Linked DNA regions of Rattus norvegicus. The protein of the gene in region 1 interacts with the protein of each later gene in a biochemical or structural test. Links are inferred from orthologs where the notes say so. Each region holds a gene or a part of one and is shown in the gene's direction. Other genes may lie near its edges.

What was found.
Region 2: the proteins of Mcm5 (region 1) and Mcmbp form a complex in vitro, tested with the Homo sapiens proteins (2 studies listed by BioGRID). The link is inferred for Rattus norvegicus from reciprocal best matches to the Homo sapiens genes MCM5 and MCMBP.

Annotation. Positions count from the first base shown.
Region 1 is NC_086037.1:13,504,002-13,509,106, forward strand, and holds part of Mcm5 (DNA replication licensing factor MCM5), read left to right. Parts: intron 1-948; coding exon 949-1,077; intron 1,078-2,868; coding exon 2,869-3,011; intron 3,012-4,283; coding exon 4,284-4,411; intron 4,412-5,105. UniProt on the Homo sapiens protein: Acts as a component of the MCM2-7 complex (MCM complex) which is the replicative helicase essential for 'once per cell cycle' DNA replication initiation and elongation in eukaryotic cells.
Region 2 is NC_086019.1:192,707,967-192,714,162, reverse strand, and holds part of Mcmbp (mini-chromosome maintenance complex-binding protein), read left to right. Parts: intron 1-558; coding exon 559-682; intron 683-2,585; coding exon 2,586-2,703; intron 2,704-5,711; coding exon 5,712-5,877; intron 5,878-6,196. UniProt on the Homo sapiens protein: Associated component of the MCM complex that acts as a regulator of DNA replication.

The DNA of each region.
Region 1 (5,105 bases):
CTGTTCTGTTCCTTACTCGGGATTACCTGATAACCCTGTTCTGAACTTGGTTCTATTCCCGTCTGTCAATTTGACCCTCCATGAGTTTACGTTTATGGCTTTGGGCAGGTTGCTCAAGTGTTCTGAGCCTCAGTTCCCACGGCTTATGTTTAAGTTCTTGGCACCTCCCCACACCAGGCCTTCCTCAGTACATTTCAGTGTACCTGCCATTGGGGCACATGGTGCTTCTTCTGTTCTTCGTATATAAATGACCTATAAGTCTGTTCTAGAAAGCTGAGGGGCAAGGCTAGATAGCGTGTCCAAGGCTGTGTACAGAAAGTAGTGCTGACAGCTCCAGAGGATGTGCCCTTAACCTTATTCAGATTCTCAGGGTTTATCTTTGAAAGGTCTAAGTCCCAAAGAAGGGGTAACCGTTAGTTGTAGCAGTTGAGTGGGTCCCTAATGCATGTCTCACTTTTGCCTCAGTGAGTGGGCGTTAACAGCTCCTGTGTCTGTCGTGGGTTTGAGCTTTGGGAAGCCTTCTAGGAGATCCTATCTCTGGGCCTCAGTTTTCTTATCCTCTTAAATCAGGGAGGTAGAGCTGGAGACTGCTGGGAAGCCTGCTCCCTGGTGGGCCTCCTGGTCTCTGGGGCCCTCAGTGACTGGTAGAACATTGTACACCTCGTGGCCAGACAGCACACTGCAGCCAGCATCAAGAGTAGTTTTCTGCACAAATGTTCAGACTCTTACTCCACTTTCTCAGAGATGTGCCATGTAGATCTCTGACACCTGCTGATAGGCAGGTCAAGTTTTTCTTAAATCTCTTTCAAATGACTCGCCACTTATATTATGAGCAAAAAGCTTTGTTTGGGAACATTCATCTTGTGAGACAATAGAGGTCTGGGAACAGGGTGAGGGCAACCTCGGATTCCTTTCTGGCCTTACTCTAGTTCACTCTGCCGTCTGCAGGAGGTGTGGACCTCGGCTATCAGCAGAGGCAGCAGAGAAGCTGAAGAACCGCTACATCATCATGCGGAGTGGGGCTCGTCAGCATGAGAGGGATATTGACCGTCGTTCCAGCATCCCCATCACAGTGCGGTGAGCTATGCAAGTGGGCTCACGTCAGAGGGCAGGGCTATTTGGTCACTGCTATTCTCATAACATGGGTGTGGTGTGGTCATCTGGGCTTCTGGGACCATGTACTGTGGCTTCCTAATTATCTCTCTGTGTGTGTGTGTGTGTGTGTGTGTGTGTGTGTGTGTGTGTGTGTGTGTGTGTGTGTGTGTTGTATGTATTTGAGGCTAGGGATGCCTGGGTAGGCCTCACTTCTGTATTTTGCCTGGCTTCCTTCTTTGAGAGGCAGCCTGAGGAAAGGGGAGGACTCTGTCCTAGCCTCTGATCAGCTGTGTAACTACAGGGAAACTAGAGACCTTTACTGGGTCTCAATTCTTTATGCCTCCTCCACTAGGGTTGTCATTTATTTATAGACAATATAGCTAGTAAGAGCTGGGGCCATCCTGGGCTGAATTATACCTCTAGCATTGATTGGTTACAAGTAGATCTGGTTGTGTATGATGAAACCCAAAGAGAGTAGTTTAAGTGGGAAGTTTATTTTCATGATTAAACTTTAGGAAGTAGGTAGTAATTCATGGTGGTTTTTCAGAGCTGTCAGCCTGGGCTCCATTACATTCACCTTTGCCAACCTTTCAGCCCTGGATGGTTTTAGAAGTGTCAGCTGTCATTTCCACAGTTTGAGCCCCAGGAGAGACCGTGGGAGGAAGACATGCTTTTTTACGGACACTTCTGACATTTTCAGATGATGCGTGGATTTAGAATGTATGGGCTACATCTTGGTCACACTGACACCTAGACCAAAAAGTCAGGAAATATCCTTTAGCAGGCAGTAGAATTAATGGTGTCCCGTGTCTACTCCACCGCAGGGCCCAGGTCTCTTGTGAAGGCAGGATGTGGGGACTTCGCTCACACGGCAGCTGGGCAGGTGTTGGGCTGTTGGAAGCCTGGGGACACCTCTCTGGGGTTGGGGAAGTGCAGTCTGAGTGCAGGACACAGCTGGAGCTGGCTGGGGGGGTCCAGGCTGGCAGTTCTCAGGCTCTTAGGCATCTAGGCACCCCTGGGATGCTGCGGAAGAGCTGAAAGGGGAAGAATGAGAACGGAGTGGGGCTGGGTCTAGTCTGGGGCCGAGGGGGAAAAGAGGGGGGGAAGCTCCTGCTGGGGAGAGTTTTTGGCTGGTTGTCGGTGGTGGGTTTGAGCTTGGTGGTAGCCATCACTGGGAGTAGGCAAAGGACTTCTATGGCTCCCTGTTGGATTCCATGAAAAGAGGCAGTCCATGGTTTCAAGGCATTTATTGTCATGGTAGAAAGTGGGTGAGTAAAACCATCCCCACTTCTCAGAGTGGGCCTGAGATTAAATACCTTTTGCAGGGAGGAGTGTCTGGGAAGGAAAGTTCATTGACTAAGCCTCCAGGCCTTTAGGCACCTCATTATAACAGATCTATCTTGAGCCTACGTGACCTTCACGTCCTCTACCTGTGGGGCGTTGCCCTTACGTGGCTGATGGTCACAAATCTATGGAGGGCTGTGGGCTAGTGACCGGCCTGGTTTCCTGGAAGTCAGGCAAAGCACCTACATCTCTTTTAGGGTCTCCGGGGTTCAAACTTCCTTAACTGGGAACCAGGGTGTCTTTCACTGCCCCACAGCAGGCAGTGTGTGCTGGAATAAAAATTGGGCTCGGTAGAAGGAGTAAAGGGTGATATATTATTGGGAGAGGCAGCAAACTCCTCTGCAGTCCTGACTACCATGGCCATGGCTCTTCCTGGAGGGTCAGAGGAGGGAGTGTGGGCTGAGCCCTCCGTGTGCTGTGTTCCCACAGGCAGCTGGAGGCGATCGTGCGCATCGCCGAGGCCCTCAGCAAGATGAAACTGCAGCCCTTTGCTACGGAGGCCGACGTCGAGGAGGCGCTGAGGCTCTTCCAGGTGTCCACGCTGGACGCCGCTTTGTCTGGCAATCTGTCGGGTGAGTAGGTGCTGGACGTGGGGCTGGACTCTGGGATGGAGAGAGATCTAGTTAGCTGGTGGCCTGCAGGCTGCTGCCTGGATGTGCTTTTGATGATAGCCTTTCCCCTGCTTCTCTCCTGGATGTTTTAACTGTTGGAGGAGGAAGGAGCTTCTCTGTAGACCTCAAATCAGTCCATTATAAGTAATGTAGGCCTGTCACTGGTAGAGGGGCTGTCAGCCCGCCCTCCTGTTGAGCTTAGAACTATTGTAGTTTCCCAATTTTGGCCTCTTTTTTTTTTTTTTTTTTTTTTTTTTTTGGTGACAGTCTGGGACCCCAGGCTGTCAGTCCTTCCTGTCATGGAGTTGAGACTGACAGAACTTCTGTGGTGTCGTGGTCACCAGTCCTGGTGGAATACAGGCCTGTGGGCCCCTGAGCCTTACTGTCTGCTGCCTGCTTTCAGCCAGTCCTGAGGGCGGTGACATGGCAGCCTCTTTAGACACCTCCACCCTCATCTGACAGGAACTCTGGCTCAGCACTTGCCAGTCGCGGTCTAGATGTCAGAGCTATAAGCACGTGGTTCCCAAGGTTCCTGTCCTACCCGTTCTGTAGGCCTCCTGACCTTCTGGTGGGATAGGTGAAGAGGTATAGGTAGTGAATGGAAGGAATGGAGAGGGCTGTGACAGCTGGGCAGTGTGTTGGAGAAGGAGTGGTTCTCTTTCTTATTTGGTAAGGTTGTACAGCTCCCGCTTACCCAGGGCTTCTGGTGGATGGCATCTCTCAGATTTGTATTCTAGAGGGCCCTGTTTGCCCTCCCTCCTAGCTCTCTTGAACTCAGAACTTTGTTTCCAGTGGGCATGGTTGTAGCAGAGGCAGAAGAATCTCTTGAGTTTGAGGTGTGAGGTCAACCAGGGCTGTACAATGACACCGTTCCTCAAACTCAGCCAAATAAAAACTGCTTCCTTCAGGTTTTTTTCTGTTGCTGTTTCTGTTGTCTTGGTATGTGTAGCCCATAGGGTCTCATGGCACTTGACTCTTAGTTACCATGGTTACCCCATCTCTGTGCCTGTTGCATGGCCTCTGTTACCTTTCCCTCTGCCTAGAGCTCTCTTCCCCATATTACTTGATTTTCACTTTTCTGGTGAGGCCTCCACTCTCACACTGTGTTCTGTCTTTAATTTTCTCTGGGGCTGGGTTCAGGCCACTCTAGTTAGAGGCTGTCATCTTTCTGGCCCTTCCAACATGGATGAACTGGGCTTTCTAGCACCCAGTTTCCCTATTGCACTCTCACAGGGGTGGAAGGCTTCACGACCCAGGAGGACCAGGAGATGCTGAGTCGCATTGAGAAGCAACTCAAGCGCCGTTTTGCTATCGGCTCCCAGGTGTCTGAACACAGCATTGTCCAGGATTTCACCAAACAGGTGAGCCTCCCTAACCCTGGGTCCACAGCCCTGGCCCGGGGTATAGAGGGGTCCTGCTGGTTCTCTTCGTCTGCTTCCCACTCAGCCACCACATGCAGTGTTCTGTGCTCAGCAGAGGGGTGCTGGGATGGGATGTTTGAGCCACCATTCCTTTTGTAGGAACTGCTACAGTCTACAGTTGAGGTTGGCTATAGGGAAAGGAGGAAGCTAGGTTTGCAGGAACCAATGCCTGTTTCCCATCTCTTAAGATTTTCCCTTATTTGGATCGTTATAGGGTAGGGATGCCCAAAACCAGATGAGTGAGCCTTGTAGCCCACTGGGGAGGGGGCTGCTGATCCCATGCAGAGGAGAGACTGTTTGGTGTGTCAGGAGGCGCCTGTGCCCTTTAAAATCATGAGGATAACTCTGGTTTCTGTTTTGTGTTTCCTTTCCCGTGTTCCTCTCAGTTTCCTTGTGGAAGTAAATTATGTAGTAATGAGTATTGGCCCTCTATAAGAGACTAGTATTAACAGGCTGGGGCTGGAGAAAGTGTGTTTTTTTTAAGGGCCACAGGGACTTAAGTCCTAGCTCATTTAATTGCTGTATGACCCAAACAAGTGACAGAACGAGTGACAGTCTGTGCCTGCTCTCTTCCTCTGTAAAGTGAGATTGTGCATGAGTCGAGAATGGAGGTGAATGTTTTTGTCTGCTGTGA
Region 2 (6,196 bases), on another chromosome or scaffold:
TAGCGTCAGGCCTTGGTGCCTCTCCTTGATCTAGATTCTACTTTGGGCCTGTTGCTGGACCTCCTTTTCCTCAGGCTTTTCCCCATTTTTGTCCCTGTAGATTTTTCAGACAGGAACAATTATGAGTCAAGAGTTTTTGACTGGGATGCCAACCCCATCCCACTTGATGTCCTGTCTTTCTGCTGGAGGTGACTGTACAAGTTCTCTCTCCCCACTGTAGGGCATTTATTTCATCTCAGGTCCCTTCCTTTAAATCCTGAGAGTCTCTTACCTCCTAGATCTCTGGCATATTCTGGAGGGTCCTCCCACTGAGGAAGAGTAGAATATGCGTGTGTCAGGGCACAGATGTGGAGGTAAAAGAAAAACTTAGAAAATCCACCTCTCCTGCTGCTGTATGGGTCCTGGGGATCAAGCTTAGGTCATCAGACTTGGTGGCAAATGCCTTTACCCTCTGAGCCATCTTGCCTTACCCTAATGGCATCATTGTCTCAAGAATTGTAGTACTCCCTCCTGCTCTTGTACGTGCACACTCTCATTGGCCATTCCTTCCTTCTGCAGTTGTGTCCAATTTCATGTCCGAGTTGTCTCCAGTCAGAGCAGAGCTGCTTGGATTCCTCACTCATGCACTCTTGGGAGACAGTTTGGCTGCTGAATACCTTATATTGCATCTCATCTCCACCGTGTAAGTCTGTGCTCTTCCTGGGAACTGGGGTGTGGGAGAAAGAAGGGAACAGCCGTGATGTTTGTTTGTGTCTTTTAGTAAATCAGCTTTGTCTTCAAGTGGGTTTTTACAAATGCTGCACCAAACACAGACTCCTTTCCCCACTTTACTTCGTTTCACATAACGCATTTGTTTCCGTCTCCAGATGGGATGTGACTGATGAGTAAGACGAACTGTTGGTTTCTCTGCACTCGTTTTATTTTTTATTTTGTATATACTTCAAATGTTGTATCTCCTGGTCTCCTCCCTATACCCTGTTTGCTTGTTTATGTGTGTATACTTCTCCAGGCTCTGCTTATAAAACAATGAAGTCTGTCTTTGTGTACATTTAGTTTGTGTATTGACTTTAATGCTTCCACCCTGTTTTGGTTCAATTTTTTATTTTGTTTTTGTTTGTTTGTTTTTGTTTTGAGACATGTTTTTTGTTTGTTTTGTTTTTGGCTTGTTTGTTTGTTTGTTTGTTTAGCCTTGCTCGTCTTTAGCTCTGTAGACTAGACTAACGTCGAACTCACAGGTCTCTTCCAGCCTCTGCCTCAAGTGCTGGAATTAGAAGTGCACACCACACACCCAGCTAGGGCCTGGCCTTTCACTCCACCATATTGGGTTTTTGGGTTGGTTTGGGATTTGTTTTTGTTTTTGTTTTGTTTTTTGTTTTTTTGTTTTTTGTTTTGTTTTTTTTTGTTGTTGTTGTTGTTGTTGAGACAGGGTGTCTTGGAGCTGTCTTGGAACTCACTCTGTAGACCAGGCTTCCCTTGAACTCAGAGATCCGTCCACCTGCCTCTGCCTCCTGAGTGCTGAGATTAAAGCACCACTACCTGGCAGGTTTTTTGGTTTTTTTTCCCCCCCAAAAAGAAAAGCAAGAAGAAAATTATCTTTCACGTGGGCAACAGTTTTCCCATCTAATACTCGAGCATATTCTTTGGTTTATGTTGTAATGTGGGCCCATCAGTTGTGGTTGAAGCACACACATCCTTACCTGCTTTTTAGATTTAATATTTAGTTAGCCTATCACAATACTTTTTTTTTTTTTCTCTCTTTGAGATAGGTTTTGTTATGTAGTCCTGGCCTAGAATGTTCTATGTAGACCAGGCTGGCCTGGAACTACATCAAGATCCTTCAGCTTCTGTCTCCTGGGTGCTAGGATTAAGGGCATGCCACCATAGTCAGCCTTCTTCCTAAGCTTTCTAATGACCTGATGTTCTCTCATTATAGATTTGTGCCATACTGTAACCATTTCCCAAAACATTAGGATTTTGTACTTTTTTTAATAAATGCTGTGATAGAAAGCATCTTATCTCCTGTCCCCTGGTGGCAGCTAAGATGGCGGGTAATGCTCAGGGTCACATCAGAGCTCTGTCTTGGCTTGACTAGACATCCCTCATGGAAAAGCACGGAACTCAGGAAGTCTGCCGTGCCTGCGTCATAGGCACACTGTTGAAGTGAGATGGTGAGGCAGTGACCACCAGCTCATGTCAGCCAGGCCTAGCCAGTAAATCTGCAAATGTTGTAAAGCACTTCAGGTCTCAGCATTTTGGATAAGGGATGCTCTCCCCATTCCTCAAAGTGGCTATTATTTAACTGCCGTTCTGATAGATAAAAAATGTCTATTTTTACCTTATATGTATGGCTATTTTGTCTGCATATCTGTGCATGCAGTGCCTGTAGAAGTCAGAAGACGGCATCTTCCTAGAACTGGAGTTACAGGCGGTTGTGAGCTATTCCGTGGGCCTGGGACTTGAACCCTGGTCCTCTGGAAGAGCAGCCAGTGCTCTAACTACTAAGCCATCTCTCTGCTTCTGCAAACTTTATAATGATGGCGTCTCAGTATCTTACCCTTGGTTTTGTGTTCTTTCCCTTCTCCTAGGTATACAAGAAGAGATGTACTTCCACTGGGAAAATTTACAGTTAACCTGAGTGGTTGCCCACAGAACAGCACCTTCACGGAACACCTATATCGGATCATCCAACATCTTGTTCCAGCAGTAAGATAATATTATGAAGGCTTATGAGTGGGACAAACCCAATTGTTTTCCACTCACCTTGAGTATTAACTTTATGTTCCTAGTGGGTCTCATTTACAAAGGACAAGACCTGCCAATTGACATAATTTAAAATGCACCCAGCATTCACTGATTGACCCAGCACAAATCTGTAATCTAAAAATTAACGCAGTGGCAGTGACTCCCTTAGAATTACGTTTCCAGTCTGTGTGAGTTTGTTCCTTTGTGTGCATATTATGAAGTGTAAAGAAGCTTTAAATCATAGGAGCCTGGTTCTCTCAGCTGAGGTAATAAAGTGGCCCATCTCCACGCCCCAGGGCTTGTTGCTATCTGGAAGCATCTGGAATGCACATTTGTGTCAGGATCTCAAGGACCGGATTTACTCTGATAACTAAAAATTTTGGCCACTTTGGGACTTAAGAAGTGAAGCCAGGTCCTTCTGAACAGCCTGTCGAGTCTGCACTTCAAGCCCTGCAGAAGCAGCAGAGTCCTGAGGATTTTGAGCCTCTTATTCAGTGGGCTGTGCTTTCACTAATGTCTGACATTAGTAATTAAGACTGAAGACATGTTGAGTAATTCATTAGGAAATAGTGGTAAAACTGACAGTGTCTTGCATTTTGCCGTGCTCTTGAGTGTCTAAATTAATAGACTATTTTGGTTAAAAAAAAAAAAAAAGAGGGGGAATTATTTTATCCCACGCTAGCCGGACCGTAGGACCACATGGCACCTGCAGGATATTCTCATCTCAGTCAGCAAGGGGTCTCGCCCGCTAAGCTCCATCCCATCTCACACTGCCGAGGCTACTCTGAGCCTGGCAGCAGTCTCTCTACCATCTAGTTCCCAAGGCGAGTCTCTGCCATGCCAGTTTCATGCAGAGACCGCCTGTCTCGCAGCTCTCTTCCTGTGGACTCTGCTCACATTCCCAGCATCCACCCCCTGGTCCCAGCAGCAGCTATCCTCTGGTAACGCTCGGCCACTGCTCTGTTTACGTTCCCAACATCTGCCCCCTAATAGTTATGATATAAACTCCCAACCACCCCTTAAAATCAAGACTCAACAAACTGCAACCCAACATCAGATTTATATCTCAGTCCATAATACAATAAACTCACAACCAATTGATAAGGATATAAACTGCCCAACTAGATAAGATAAATTTGCCTACAGAAACCCATCCCAACTCCCTTAGCAATTCAGGACCACCGGGATCTGGGTCATCCTCTGTCTCCATCTTGATTCTCCCTCCTTCTCCTTCTGTCCTGCCTTACAAAAGCTTTGTCCCCACCTTATATTTTACTGTCCAATCGTGGCCTTGACCTAACTGGTGCTGTCCCTCACCTGCATGTAGACATCAACCTACAGGAGACCCCTAGGTTTTCTGTTCTGCTTCCACATTTGCCCCTGCGGTGCTGTTTTTATCTGGTCTGTTTCTTAGCTGAGGTGCATGATCTGAAAGCCTGTCTGTCAGTGGAGTTTGCACATCTCTGTGGTAAAGCCTGTTCTGTCTGTAAACGTGACTCATTCATAGACCCGGAAATAGGATCTTAGCGGTTCCCTAGGCCATGTCTCCTGAGATTGCTTCTCTGTCCTCAGAACTTCCTGGTTTTGAGGTATAAAATCAAATTGCTGGTGTGTGCTTTAAATATTCTCAGCAGAACAGTGAAGCCCTGGAAATGGGATAGCAGACACTGGCATAAGACATATGCCCATCTCTCCAATAGGGTCTGAGACTCAGTCTGGAGCAGAACTGGTGACTGCCTGGGGGGTCATGTCCTCCTACATAGAAAACAGGCAATCTAAGGAGCAGCATGGGCCTGTGTAAGGGATGCCAGCAGAGGCTGGTGCAGTACCACTCTCAGACACAAGATGGCGCCAGAGACCATCTATGTCTCAGCTGTGCAGCCAGGATTACATCTTTACCTGGGGGAGGGAGGGTGGAGGAAAGGGCTTAGAGGGTCTCTTTTCCTTATTTTGCATTTCATTGACTGTCTGCCCTTTCGTCACTCTTAGCACACTGGCCCCAGCCCTTCTCAGTGCTTTTCTCTCTGGAATGGAACATTCAGCTTCTACTGCTTATTACATGTGTCCTGCTTGTGGTTCTGTGGCAAAGCCAACCTCAGCCCCAACACATGGTCACTTTTTAAAATTTGTATATGAGTGTCTGGCTTGCATGTATGTCTGTGCAACGTACATGTCTAGTGCCTGTGACATTGGGTCCCCTGGAACTGGATTTATGGATTGTTGTGAGCCACCATATAAGTGCTGGGAATAGAACCCATGTCCCTACACAAGAACAAGTGTTCTCAACCAATGGGCTGCCAGCCACCTTTTTTGACAAGCTCTGCTTCTGGGATTTCATTCGTATCTGTAAAGAACCACTGCCCTCCTTTCTCAGAATAATTGAGCCAAAGTACAAAATTCTCTAAATTCTAGTTCTCTCTCTTCCCTCTTCTCTTGCTGCATGCTTTCCTGAAGGCTGGAACATGCTTGAGTTCCATGTGTCTAGAGCAGACAGAAGGAGCTGAGTGTGGTGGGGGCTGGAGGCAGGGTGTGGAGGGTCCCTACGTTGGGCTGAAGTGTTGGTAATGAGTCGAGCCATGGTCTGTTTTAATGTACAGAGCCTGTGTTCTTGCCTCAGCAACTAGACGTCACTCACAGTCTTCACATTTTACTAGCTCCTGTCCCTTAATGAAGTTTAACTTCTGGCTGTCTGATGTTTGGCTATCACAGCTGTCTACCATTTTGTATCCCTGGCTGCCCTTACCTCTCCAGCGTGCACTGTGTCAGCTGAAATGTGGGACATAAGCAGCTAGAAGAGGTGTGGCTCGGAGTGTGGCCACAGATAGTTCCTAAGAGTTGCAGAGACCATCTGTCTCCGTTTTAGAAATGATATCATTCCATGTGAAACAAAGGCGTTCTCTCTCTAAACACACGCCTGTGGGTGTGGGTTTTTTAATAGAGAAACTTGCTTATTACAGCTTCTGTCTCAGTCTTTCCGTCTACAGATGACAATAGAAAACATGAACCAGTTGAAACTCATTCCCCACAAAGACTATACAGCCAACCGACTGGTCAGCGGCCTCCTTCAGCTGCCCAACAACACTTCCCTGGTCATTGATGAGACTCTTCTGGAGCAAGGGCAATTGGACACGCCAGGTATGTGCATGGATACTTGCTGTCCTCTTCTGGTTTTGCTCCATTTAACCAGATCTGGCGATGACTTCTAAGGCAAACAACATTTAACAAGTATTTTTTAAATACGCATGTGACTAAAGCATGTAGCACACATTGGACACCAGTTGTTTTGTTCTGACATTCTGCTGGCTGCCCATTAGCTCAAGAAAGGACAGAAGAGATTTAATGTAAAGAGATTTAATGTTTTGTACATCCTGTGGTAACTTTCTTAACAGTTTACATAGTTTCTGGGGGAAAAGTCGATCATAAGGTTTAAACTAACTACAGTTGTGGAACTTGT